Linked DNA regions of Callithrix jacchus. The protein of the gene in region 1 purifies or fractionates together with the protein of each later gene. This does not show direct contact. Links are inferred from orthologs where the notes say so. Each region holds a gene or a part of one and is shown on either strand. Other genes may lie near its edges.

Region 1 (3,247 bases):
TGGAGATGAACAGTTGATAATGGGCTTTTCTTATAATTGAAGGGCTGTTAGTCTATAGAAGCAAGTAGGTTTATTGACTTATTCTGTGTAGCAGATAAGGTGGAACTAAAATCAGTGCATGGAAGTGACAGGATATCATTGAATAATTTGTAATTCCCATAGAGTTGTCCCTTTTGTTGAAGCACTATTAAAAGCCCGAATGGTGTTGCTAAGAGGGATGTTCATTGGCTTTGTCAGGGAAAGTTGAACTCCAGCATTTAACACTCTCTGTGGTAAGGGTTTACCTTGGGCCAAGATTTTGTTTTTGTTTTGATATACTTGTATTTAGACTCCATTTGATTATTTGAGTATCTACTATGCTGTAGTTGATTTGTTGAGTACAGTGACCGTATATATGTCTTGGTTTGCTTGGGAGAATCCTGATTCATGTCTCTTCTTCTGGCTTTATTTATTTGTGTGTTGGGACAGAGTCTCACTCTCTCGCCAAGCTAGATTGCAGTGGTGTGATCTTGGCCCACTACAACATCTGCCTCCTGGGTTCAAGCAATTCTCCTGCCTCAGCCTGCCGAGTAGCTAGGACTACAGGCACCCGCTACCACCCCAACTAATTTTTATATTTTTGGCAGAGATTGGGTTTCACCACGTGAGCCAGGATGGTCTTGATCTCTTGACCTCATAATCTACCTGCCTCAGCCTCCCAAAGTGCTGAGATGACAGGTGTGAGCCACTGCACTCAGCCCTGGCCTGATTAATAATAATACCCACAGTTTCTCTCAGGTGTTCAGTTTTGGACGATGGTGAATAGTAAGATCACCTTATTAATTTTAGTTTGATGTGATTTACAAGAACATCTTTTTCTCTTTTAAAACAAGGTCATCAGAAGTACTTTGTTTGACTCTGAGGATCAACCATTTTTCAAAATAATCGTGTCCAAAATTATATACTCAACCTTTTAATTTCTGTAAATTTTTAATGCAGTGTACATAAACAGCCATTTTTCCTGCTTGTGGACTTTATTTCATAATTATTTTCCTATATTCTTTTAAACAGAAGGCAGACGGTAACAAGTACTCCTTGCTGGATTGAACTTCATCTGAATGGACCTCTGCAGTGGTTGGACAAAGTATTAACTCAGATGGGATCCCCTTCAGTGCGTTGCTCAAGCATGTCATAAAGCTTCATCACCAATCAATTTCCATCAAAAGACTTAATGTAACAACTCTTCTGTCATAGTATTGTGTGTGGTCTCCATGGACTGTTTACTGTCCAAAAGTTCAAGAGAGAAAACAGCACTTGAGGTCTCATCAATTAAAGCACCTTGTGGAATCTGTTTCCTATATTTGAATATTAGATGGGAAAATTAGTGTCTAGAAATACTCTCCCATAAAAGAGGAAGAGAAGATTTTAAAGACTTAATGATGTCTTATTGGGCATAAAACTGAGTGTCCCAAAGGTTTATTAATAACAGTAGTAGTTATGTGTACAGGTAATGTATCATGATCCAGTATCACAGTATTGTGCTGTTTATATACATTTTTAGTTTGCATAGATGAGGTGTGTGTGTGCGCTGCTTCTTGATCTAGGCAAACCTTTATAAAGTTACAGTACCTAATCTGTTATTCCCACTTCTCTGTTATTTTTGTGTGTCTTTTTTAATATATAATATATATCAAGATTTTCAAATTATTTAGATGCAGATTTTCCTTGTAGAAAAACTAATTTTTCTGCCTTTTACCAAAAATAAACTCTTGGGGGAAGAAAAGTGGATTAACTTTTGAAATCCTTATCCTTAATGTGTTCAGTGGGGCTTAAACAGTCATTCTTTTTTTGTGTGTGTGTTTGTGTGTTTTTTTTTAACTGCTAAATCTTATTATAAGGAAACCATACTGAAAATCTTTCCAAGCCTCTTTTCTCCATTCCCATTTTTGTCCTGATAATCAAAATAGCATAGCATGACATCTTCACCAGTAATAGTTGCACTGATACTGCTGGCACCAGTTAATTCTGGGGTACAGTAAGAATTCATATGGAGAAAGTTCCTTTGACACCCAATTTTCGACAGGAATAATTGGCTTGTATAACCTGGCAGTCTGTTGATTTAACTTTCCACCTACAAAAAAATACATAGGTGGCAGTATAATTATTTTCAGGGATATGCTAGAATTACTTCCACGTATTTTTCCCTTTTTAAAAAGCTAATCTATAAATACCCTTTTTTCAAAAGGTATTTTAAAATATTTCAACCGCAGACCTTCTGGTCTTCTAGTAGTTTCATTTGATTTAGTTACCAGATTGTATTATGAAATGAACCTTTTGTAGATGTAATTGTTTCTGCAAAATACCTAGAAAAGTGATGCTGAGGTACGATCAGCAGATATGGGCCATCTGTTTTTAAAGTATGTTGTATTCAATTTGTAAATTGATTGTTACTCTACATGTAATTATGAATTCAGAATTTTAAAAACTGGGGGGAAAAGCCATTTCTTTAGCAAGTTTTTTAGCTTTTAAGTTACCTGCAGTCTGAGCTGTTCTTAACTGATCCTCAGTTTGTGGTTGACCATATTTCATACTCTGTAGTGAGAGGAGATTTCCGAAACTCTGTTGGTAGTTCATTCTGCAGCAAATAATTATTATGTCTAATGTTGACTCATTGCAGTTTAAACATTTCTTCTTGTTTGCATCTTAGTAGAAATGGAAAATAACCACTCCTGGTCATCTTTTCATAAATTTTCATATTTTTGAAGCTATCTTTGGTACTTGTTCTTTGAAATCATACTCAACCTGTCTCTACAGGTATCATTTTCGATACTTTCAACATTTGGTGGTTTTCTATTGGATACTCGCCATTTTCCTGTATTTGTGTGTATATGTATGTGTTCATGTAAATTTGGTATAGTAATTTTTTATTCGTTCAACAGATATTTATTGTTCGCATGTTTGTACCAGGAACTTTCTTAGTCTTTGGGTAAAGGTGAACAAGACAGCTACAGTTCCTGCCTTTGCTGAGACAGCAATTACACTAATCCTTAATCATCTTGTCTTTGAAGGAGATAAACAGGGTACTGTACTGGAGAATAACAGATGGATGCTTCAGGTAGGACATCAAGGAAAGCCTCTCAGGAAATGATGCATGAGCTAATACCTGACATTGAAGAAGCAAGCCAAGTGATGAGCCAGGGAAGATAAGCATTCCTGGCAAAGAGAATAGCATCAAATGCAAAAAGGCTCACACTAAAGGAAACTCATG
Region 2 (4,113 bases), on another chromosome or scaffold:
CTCATTCAACCCTCAGAAGAAGCCTGTGAAGTTTCAGGCATCCTCGTCCTACCTGTTTCACAAGTGGGGGGCCCTAGTACTAAGCACCTCGCTTGAGGTTAAGCTAGGATTTAGAGAACCGGGTGTGAATTCAGGAGGTCAGATTACAGAATAAGCACTCCTTATCGCTATCATAGGGGAGAGGAGGACAACTGAGGTTTGGGAAAACAATGACTTGGAAAATTCAAAAACAAACAACTAACGTGAACCCCTTATAATCCATCCCCAGTCCTGTACCAGGCTTTTTCTTTTCTTTTCTTTTTAAGACAGTCTTACTCTGGCGCCCAGGCTGGAATGCAGGAACCCAAGAATGGCTCACTGCAGCCTCTGGCTCACTACCTCTCTGGCTCAAGCAATCCTCCCACCCCTGCCTCCTAAGTAGCTGGAACCACCAGTGCCTGTCACCACACTCAGCTAATTTCTGTATTTTTTGGAGAGATGAGGTCTCTCTATGTTGCCCAGGTTAGTCTCAAACTCCTGGTCTCAAGCAATTCTCCCACGTCAGCCTCCCAAAGTGCTGGGACTGCCCAAAGCCACTGCACCCGATCCTGTACCAGGCCTTGAACAAAAATGCTCACACGATCTTCCACAGGACCCTCTCCTTCAATCCACAGATATTCACTAAAGACCTGCTATGCATCAGGCCCAGGGTACTCTGGGGCTAGCAAGGTAGACACAGTCCCAGCTCTCACCGTGCTGGTGGTGACAGCTACAGGAGAAAGGACCAAGGTGATGTGTGAGCGTAACTGAGGGGAACAATGGCTAGCCCAAGGTGGCCAGGGAAAGTCAAAACACAGTCCTGGTCGGGTGAGGTGGCTCACATATTAATCCCAGCACTTTGGGAGGCAGAGATGGGTGGATCACCTGAGGTCAGGGGTGTGAGATCAGCCTGGCCAAAACGGGGGAACCCCATCTCTACTAAAAATACAAAATTTAAAAAATTAGCCAGTCATGGTGATGGGCGCCTGTAGTCCCAGCTACTTGGGAGGCTGAGGCAGGAGAATCACTTGAACGCGGAAGGCAGAGGCTGCAGTAAGCCAAGATTGGGACAGTGCACTCCAGCCTGGGGAACAGGCGAGATTCCATCTCAAAAAAAAAATCCTATTATCCTCCCTGATTTTGAGGCCCCCTCTTCCAGGCAGCCCCCATGATCTCCAGCTACCACTCATTCCCTGCATGTCTGCTGCATCCCTCTCACAGTGCAAGTTATAAGCATTAAATGACAGGCCAGGAGGGTTTCTTCCCGCATTTACCACCTGCTACCCTCCAAGACTGCAGAGACTCCAGGAGCCAACCCCCGACCATCCAACACTCGGTAGGGCCTCAACAAGTATTTGCTGAACAATAAGGGACACTGGACCAAACAGTAACAATATCGCTTCCCACTTGCCAGGAACCATTTCACAGGCGTTCACCAATTCCATTTGTGAGGTTACCCCCTTTCACAAAGGAGGAAAACTAAGAGGTTCAGCGAGGTTAAGCCACTTCCCTAAAGTGACAGTGTGCTAAGTGACTGACAGCACCAGGAATCAAACTTGAATGCACCCTATCAATCCAAACTGAAAACTTGTTTCAAATTCTTGCGAAGTGTCTTTTCCACTTACTCACTTTGCACTTTCCCCAAGGAGTCACTGACCAAAAGAAAAAAAATCAAGACTGGTGTCTTCAAGACAGGGACAAAACACTCGCCTAAAAAGTCCACGTTGGAAGGAAAAAAAAAAAAAAGAAAAAGAAAAAAGCCTTCACCTTAAAAACCAATTGGGAAGCAGTAAAAAGGATGCAAAACCTAAGCACTGCTTTTATACAGCAAACGATTTCCTCCGCGGTCCCCTACTTGCAGCCGACCCCATCCCCAAACTTCCCCAACCCCAATTCGGGCAAACATTCTGAAGTCACTAATTCCAAGGGATTGGAGGAGTCCTTTACCTTTCCTTGAAAATCTGGAATGACGCGTTTTTAAGACAATTTGAGGTCGGCTAGCCCAAGGGGGTCGCCAATGCCCGTGTCCGGTCGACGCCGGACGTTATCTGGAGGTTTGGCTACTGAGCCCCAATCGCAGCTTCGCCAAAAAGGCAACATTAGGGTCTGACCCGTTACCACGCAGCCAGAAAAGCCCCAACGCCTGCCTATTGTTGCAAGCGCTGAAATTGGGAGGGCGACTGTGGGGGTGCCGGACGAGAAGGGCGAGCTTTGTCCCGCGACCCCGGCGAGAGCGCGCGCGGAGGGGATCGCGCGGCCTCCACGCGGCCCGGGTCCCCCACCCGCCCGCCGCTCCGCGGGGACCGTCCCTGCCGCGGCCTCGCGATGCTGTGGCCTTCCCCACGCGCGCGGCTGCCGGCCGGGCTTCTTGATCCTCGGGCGCCGCCGTACCCTGGCCCCGCACCGGGCGCGCCGGTCGCCCCCTCCCCCCTCAGCGCCCGGCTCCATTCAAACCGCCCTCCCCAGCCCCGCGCCGCGCTGCCCCCGCGGCCCGCGTTCCTTACCGGGAGCGGCAGGCGCCGTCGCCTTCCCGGCGCCGCCCCCGCCCCTCCGCGCGGGGCCGGGGGCAGAGTGAGCGTCTCGCGTCCCCTCACGAAACAAAGAAGCCGCCGCCACCGCCGCCAAGCGAGGGGAAGCCTCACGCGCGCACCCGCCTCGGCCACCGCCCCCCCTTCAGACACACGCGCGCGCCGCCCGCGCCCCCGCTGCGCGCGCTCTCGCTGGCTCCCCTTCCCCCAGCTCCGCGGACGGCCTCTCCAGCTTCCGCCGCCCGCCCGGCCTCGTGCGCGCGCCAGTCCGCCCTTCCGCTCCCTGCGCGCGTGCGCTCCCGCCCCTAGGCTGACAGAGGTGGGCGCGTCCAGGAGGAAGCACGAGCGCCCGACGCACCGCCCCACTGGGGCCGCTATAGCCCCGCGCCTGCGCACGGGTAGCTTTGCCCTCTGCACGCCGCGCGTCCTATCGCCCCAGAGCATGCGCACAGCGGGCGTCACTGCGGTGGCGGCGAGGGCTCTGGCGGGCTAATTGGGGGAAGGGAGTCCGGTGGCAGTGGGGTCCGTGGGGAAGGGAGGTCCCTGAGACTCGAAAATAGGAACTTGAACCGTAGGATGGGCGAGCTGGGCCTAGACCGGGCAGTGGTTTCCCGCGGGCCAAGGGGGAACCGCTTTGATCCCTGGCCGGGGCGGCGGGGCCTGTTTGGCGAGGCCGGGTGGGGCCCGACCGTGGTCGCCTTCTCTGCAAAACCTCCCTAGTGCCATTAATTAGCTTAGCAAATGTTGATTGATCTGCTGCTGTGTCCAAGCCGTCGTGGAGCCCACGGTCTAGTTGGGGAGGAGGACAAGAAGCAAGATTAATGAGCGAAATAGGGCAGTGTGAGAGGTCAAACTTGGTGGCTCATGCCTGTAATCCCAGCACTTTAGGAGGCTGTCGGGGGCAGATCACCTGAGGTCAGGAGTTCGAGACCACCCTGGCCAATATAACAAAACACTGTCTCTACTAAAAATACAAAAATTAGCGGGGCGTGGTGGCACACGACTGAAATTCCAGCTACTCAGGAGGCTGAGGCAGGAGAATCGCTTGAACCCGGGACGTAGAGGTGGTAGTGAGCCGAGATCGCGCCATTGCACTCCAGCCTTGGCAATAAGAATGAAACTCCGTCTCAAAAAAAAAAAAAAAATAGTGTAAGGTGGAGACTGGGAGGATCGTGGACATTTTAAATAGGGCAGCCAGAGAAGCAGTCATTGCAGAGAACACGTTTGAGTGCAGACATGCCGGCAGTGAGGAAAAGAAACCCTGTGAGACTGAAGGCCCTGAGCCTCTTGGTCTCCGCTCTGTGTTTTTATTTTGTTTTGTTTGTTTTTGAGACGAAGTCTTGCTCTGTCAGGCAGGCTGCAGTGCAGTGGTGATCTCGGCTCACTGCAACCTACACTTCACAGATTCAAGCAATTCTCCTGCCTCAGCCTCCCAAGTAGCTGGGATTACAGGCGCCTGCCACAACACCCGACTAATTTTTTGCATTTTTTAGTAGAAATGGGGTTTCACCATGTTGGACAGGCTGGACTTGAACACCTGACCTCAGGTGATCCGCCCCTTGGTTTC
Region 3 (4,285 bases), on another chromosome or scaffold:
GTGCTATGGTGACAGACGGCAGTTGGCATTACCATTTATATAGTAAAATATCTTTAAGACAAAAATAAAAGTTATTTCAAGAATATGCTGTCCCTGAAACATGAGCTATGCCTTAAACTACATATCCTACCTCCATGAGTGAATACGTAAGTGGGTTTCCTGCCAGCATGTATGTGTAAAGACCTATTGTTTGCATGTATTAATTGCGGTCCTGGGATAAAAGCACAGACGTAACTTTCACTGCTGCTTTTTGTACTCTCTCCAATGTTTTGGAGGAAAAATAAGCACAAACAATAGAATAGAGAAAGTGAAGCGATCGTAATTGTTGCAGCTTTGACAAACGCCAATTTTGCTGCATTACAATGGGAAACATTTTTCAGCCTATCAAAATTAATTAAAAAACGTTTTTAAAGTCAGTTAAAAATATTAGAGGCTGTCTAATCGATCGCTTTTTCTATAAACATACTTTGGTTTCTCAAGTAATACCGTAAAAACCTTCTTCTCCAAAGAAAAAATCCCCACAAATAAATCTATTGATACCTAGTGACAAGTGGAACCAGATAAAAATGGAATCTATAATAATTAAGCTAATGGACAGTGCTCCGGAGCGAATCCATTTCCACTAGTTACTTGCTCACAGTAGGTACTCAGAAGGACTTGTTGAACTGCGGGCTTGGCGCCCATTCTCCGGGAGTTCACAGCCCTCGCGAGCGGGATCGAGGGCGGCTTGGCCCGGTGATTCAGGTCGAAACTCAAGCTGAGCCGCCCGCTGCGGGGGGGGACCCACCATCCGGACAGTGGGGGGCCTCTGGGTGCCGCGAGACTGGGCTGCCAGCCAGGTCCAGCAGGGAGTGCGCGGCACAGACCGCAAGGTCGTAAGGCCCCGACACCCGCGCCGGGCCGGGAGTCCGCAGACTGGCGACGGGGCAGCGGCGGCGGCGGCGGCGCCCAGGAGCGCCCCGAACTTCCGCCCTCCGAGGACCCGTCCCGCCCGCCCCGCGCGGCCCCCGAGGGCCGGGGCCGAGGAGCCACCTTCCGCAGGCCGCGGGAAAGGCGCGCCGAGTCCTGCAGCTGCTCTCCCGGCTCGGGAAACGCGCGGGGCGGGGGCGTCGGGCTTGGGACGGGGGAGGAGACGGGGCCACCTTCCCTCACCCAGGCCTGCAGGGGCCCGGCCTCCCCGACGCAGACCACGGCGCCCTCCGGGGCCGCCCTCCGGTCCCGCGCAGCAGGCAGCCGCCAGCCTGCGCCCGGGGAGCGTCCGTGGGGAGCGTCCGCGGCGAGCGCGGCCCCCGCCCCGACCCGGAGCGCTCTCACGGCGGCGCACTGCCGGGCCGCGCACGGCTGGCGGCGCGGGACTACTTTCCCCCGCCCTCTCGCGCCCCGCCCCGTGTCCTCGCGCGGCGGAACGCTCCGCGCGGTGCCGGCGGCGGCAGGATACAGCGGCTTCCGCGCGACTTATAAGAGCTCCTTGTGCGGCGCCATTTTAAGTCTCTCGGTCTGTGGCAGCCGCGGTAGCCCGGCCCCGGGAGCGGAGAGCGAGGGGAGGCGGAGACGGAGGAAGGTCCGACGAGCAGCCTCAGTGCCCGCCGAGCCGCCACCGCAGGTCGAGGACGGTTGGACTCCCGCGGCGGGAGGAGCCTGTTCCCCTGAGGTGCTTGGGCGCTCCTTTCCTTATCCTTCCGGGGCTGCTCCCGCTTCCTCTCGGAGCCAAACTTCGTCGCAGGCGCGCGGTCCGGGCGGCGGGCTGGGAGCCGGGCCGGGCACAGCCCGGAGGCCTGGGGTGGGGAGCGGGGGTTCGGGTGGGGGACGGCGGGGGCGGGACGCGCCCGGGGCGCGGAGGGCGGTGGCCGGGCCCGGGTTCCGGTCGCGCTGCCCCTCAGGGGCCCCGGGGGCATCGCTTGCAGGGAGGGGGTGCCGCGGGGTCGCGTCCAGGAGCCCGGATGGCCGGCGGGTGGGAGTGGGGGTGGGGGTCTGTGGTTTCTGTGCGGGGCTCCGGCCTTGGCCGAGTTTGGGGGAGGGACCCTGTGCCTCGGGATGCGCTGGGGCCCGGGGTGGGGTGGGGGGCGGGGTGGGGACCGGGGGCTCCGCCTTTTCAGCTCCTGCGGCGAGTTGGGGTTCGGGGGCTCAGGCCGGAGCGCCACCCTAAGTCCCATCTGTCCTGGGGATCCGCCGAGTGGACTTTCTCTTAAGATTTCGGAAGAATAGAAGTGTTAATTTTATTATTATTAATTTTTGGTAATGCCCTGCCTGTGTGAGTTTGAATCGAAGCAACTTTAAACCTTAGAGTAAACTCTGAGTGCGGTCGGTGCGATGCGTCAGTAGGGTGTGCACGTAGAAAATCCGTGTCTTGCACTATTTTAGCGTACCGTGCAGGTGAGTGAAAGCGGTGGATAAAGTAGGGGAGTCTTCTGGGTTTATGGTAGTGGGCATGAGACCCTAGTGAAACAAGGGGGTGGAGGAAGGGCGAAGGTGATGGCTCACTGTTTGTTACCACGTAAACTGCAGGATTCGGCCTCTGACTCGGACCGCTTCGAGGATTTTGTTCGTTTGAAATAATTTAAATTTATTCAAATAGTTTGATGGCAGCTAAACTTGATTTTTAGAGCACGTTTTCTTTTCAGCGGAGTGAATGAAATTTTCCTTCTTTGCAAAACGGCCAAATGCAATTCAAGCAGTTGAAACTTCTCTGTTTTGTCTGGAGAGAGGACTTTGAACCGAGACTTTTCGAAGTTGAGTTCCTATAGCCCGCTTCTGAATCTGCCAAGCTGGAAAGCTTTGGCACTGGGTGTAGTTGTTCCCTTCGTTCTGTTCCCTTGTGGAGGGACATTGTCTCATACTTTGTATCTTGCAGACATCTGTGGTCTCCCCCGTCCCCGGCCCCCCACCCCTCGAGTTTGTGAGTGGTGAATGAAGAAAGACCAGGCTGCTGGTATGCAGAGGTCGGCAAAAGGAAATCGAGGAGTGGTTTTAGTGCAATGAGAGCTTTGTATCGTGAATAATGGTGGCTTAGGCTTGAAGGGACGGCAGCATTTCCTTTGGTAATGTCTACGCTAATGTTTTTCAGATCGCTAAGTTGTAAAGTAGTTTGTCTGGAATTTAGGAAGCCATTTCAGTGTTTGTCACTTGGTGAACGAACATTCAGTACCTTCAGATGTCTTCGTGTCGATCGATTTGTATTCATCCTGAGAAATAGTAAATATAGCCTGAAGTGTTATTTATATTACTATCCGCTTAAATTGTTGACATAAATTTCTACTTTGGAGTCGTTTCGTTTGAACTAAGGCTGCTGCGACATTTATTTTACTTTTATATTTAAATCTTTGAAAAATCTCTGATTAAAAAAAAGTACCTTTAAGGGTTTGAGGATGTCCTTTCACACCAGACAAAATTTAGTTAATTTGCGCCCAATATTCATTAATTTGACCTAACCTTTGTTCTGAAGGCCATGTACAAGGACAAGGCCCTGAGATTATTGCAACAATAACTTGAAAAACTTTCAGAAGTCTTTTCTGTAGGATTAAAGGAATGCTGAAACTATTCAAGTCTGAAGTCCTGGGGGTGGGGAGAAGTAAAAACCTGTGCTAGAGAGCTTAGTATAGCATGTAACTTTAGAGTCCTCAGGAGTCGTGAGTCTCCCACAGACCAGAGCAACCATTTAAAAGTTTTCAGGAGAAAACAACTTAAAAAAAAAATAAGGCGGCTAATAAAAAATGAAGCATTTAACAGTGTTCAGGTTTCAGAGTATCGAGGGGTTTTTAAAACTGTTACTGGATTATTTCCTTTACCAAGATGATGATATAGAAAAGTGTATTGCCAATATTAAAATTATCAGATTGAGCTTCTTACTGTTCCTGATGACTGGATAAAAATTGGCATAAATGAGGGTCTCTGTGCTTGTTTTCATAACATCGCCACCAAGATAGAAAATGAGGAGGCAAGTTTCTTTAAGAGTATTTTGAAATGTGTTACCAAAAACTGTCATAGATACCCTTTTTTGTTATAGGGCGTGGTGGGGAGAGGTGCATGCTAAATATTGTTGAAACTAGGGATGTGGAGAATTCACAGTTTCAATATCATTATTTTGTTACTATAAGTAGCAGTGAAATTACAACTCCTGCAACAGACTACATATTCAGTTAAATGAAACTTCAGTGTTATTGAAATGAAATAACACGTCTGTCCTGTTACAAGATTATTTTATTTCTCTTTGGTGGTTTCCTAGCTGCTGATAACCAATAATGGTAGATGAGTAGGTGGTAAATTTTAAGTTTGTACTTTGAGCCTA

Evidence for each region. The genes of interacting proteins can lie anywhere in the genome.
Region 2: the proteins of SMAD2 (region 1) and SMARCA4 purify together in Homo sapiens (affinity purification with mass spectrometry; 3 studies listed by BioGRID, with this or other methods). This does not show direct contact. The link is inferred for Callithrix jacchus from reciprocal best matches to the Homo sapiens genes SMAD2 and SMARCA4.
Region 3: the proteins of SMAD2 (region 1) and CTNNB1 purify together in Homo sapiens (affinity purification with western blotting; 5 studies listed by BioGRID, with this or other methods). This does not show direct contact. The link is inferred for Callithrix jacchus from reciprocal best matches to the Homo sapiens genes SMAD2 and CTNNB1.

Annotation. Positions count from the first base shown.
Region 1 is NC_133514.1:90,930,367-90,933,613, reverse strand, and holds the end of SMAD2 (mothers against decapentaplegic homolog 2), read left to right. Parts: intron 1-1,050; coding exon 1,051-1,174; 3' UTR 1,175-2,747; downstream 2,748-3,247. UniProt on the Homo sapiens protein: Receptor-regulated SMAD (R-SMAD) that is an intracellular signal transducer and transcriptional modulator activated by TGF-beta (transforming growth factor) and activin type 1 receptor kinases.
Region 2 is NC_133523.1:10,116,034-10,120,146, reverse strand, and holds the start of SMARCA4 (SWI/SNF-related matrix-associated actin-dependent regulator of chromatin subfamily A member 4), read right to left. Parts: upstream 2,801-4,113; 5' UTR 2,523-2,800; intron 1-2,522. UniProt on the Homo sapiens protein: ATPase involved in transcriptional activation and repression of select genes by chromatin remodeling (alteration of DNA-nucleosome topology).
Region 3 is NC_133518.1:78,994,184-78,998,468, forward strand, and holds the start of CTNNB1 (catenin beta-1), read left to right. Parts: upstream 1-1,485; 5' UTR 1,486-1,516; coding exon of another isoform or gene 1,517-2,153; exon of another isoform or gene 2,154-2,373; intron 2,374-4,285. Other genes in the region: uncharacterized protein LOC144579968, read right to left, coding at 583-1,454, 1,517-2,153. UniProt on the Homo sapiens protein: Key downstream component of the canonical Wnt signaling pathway.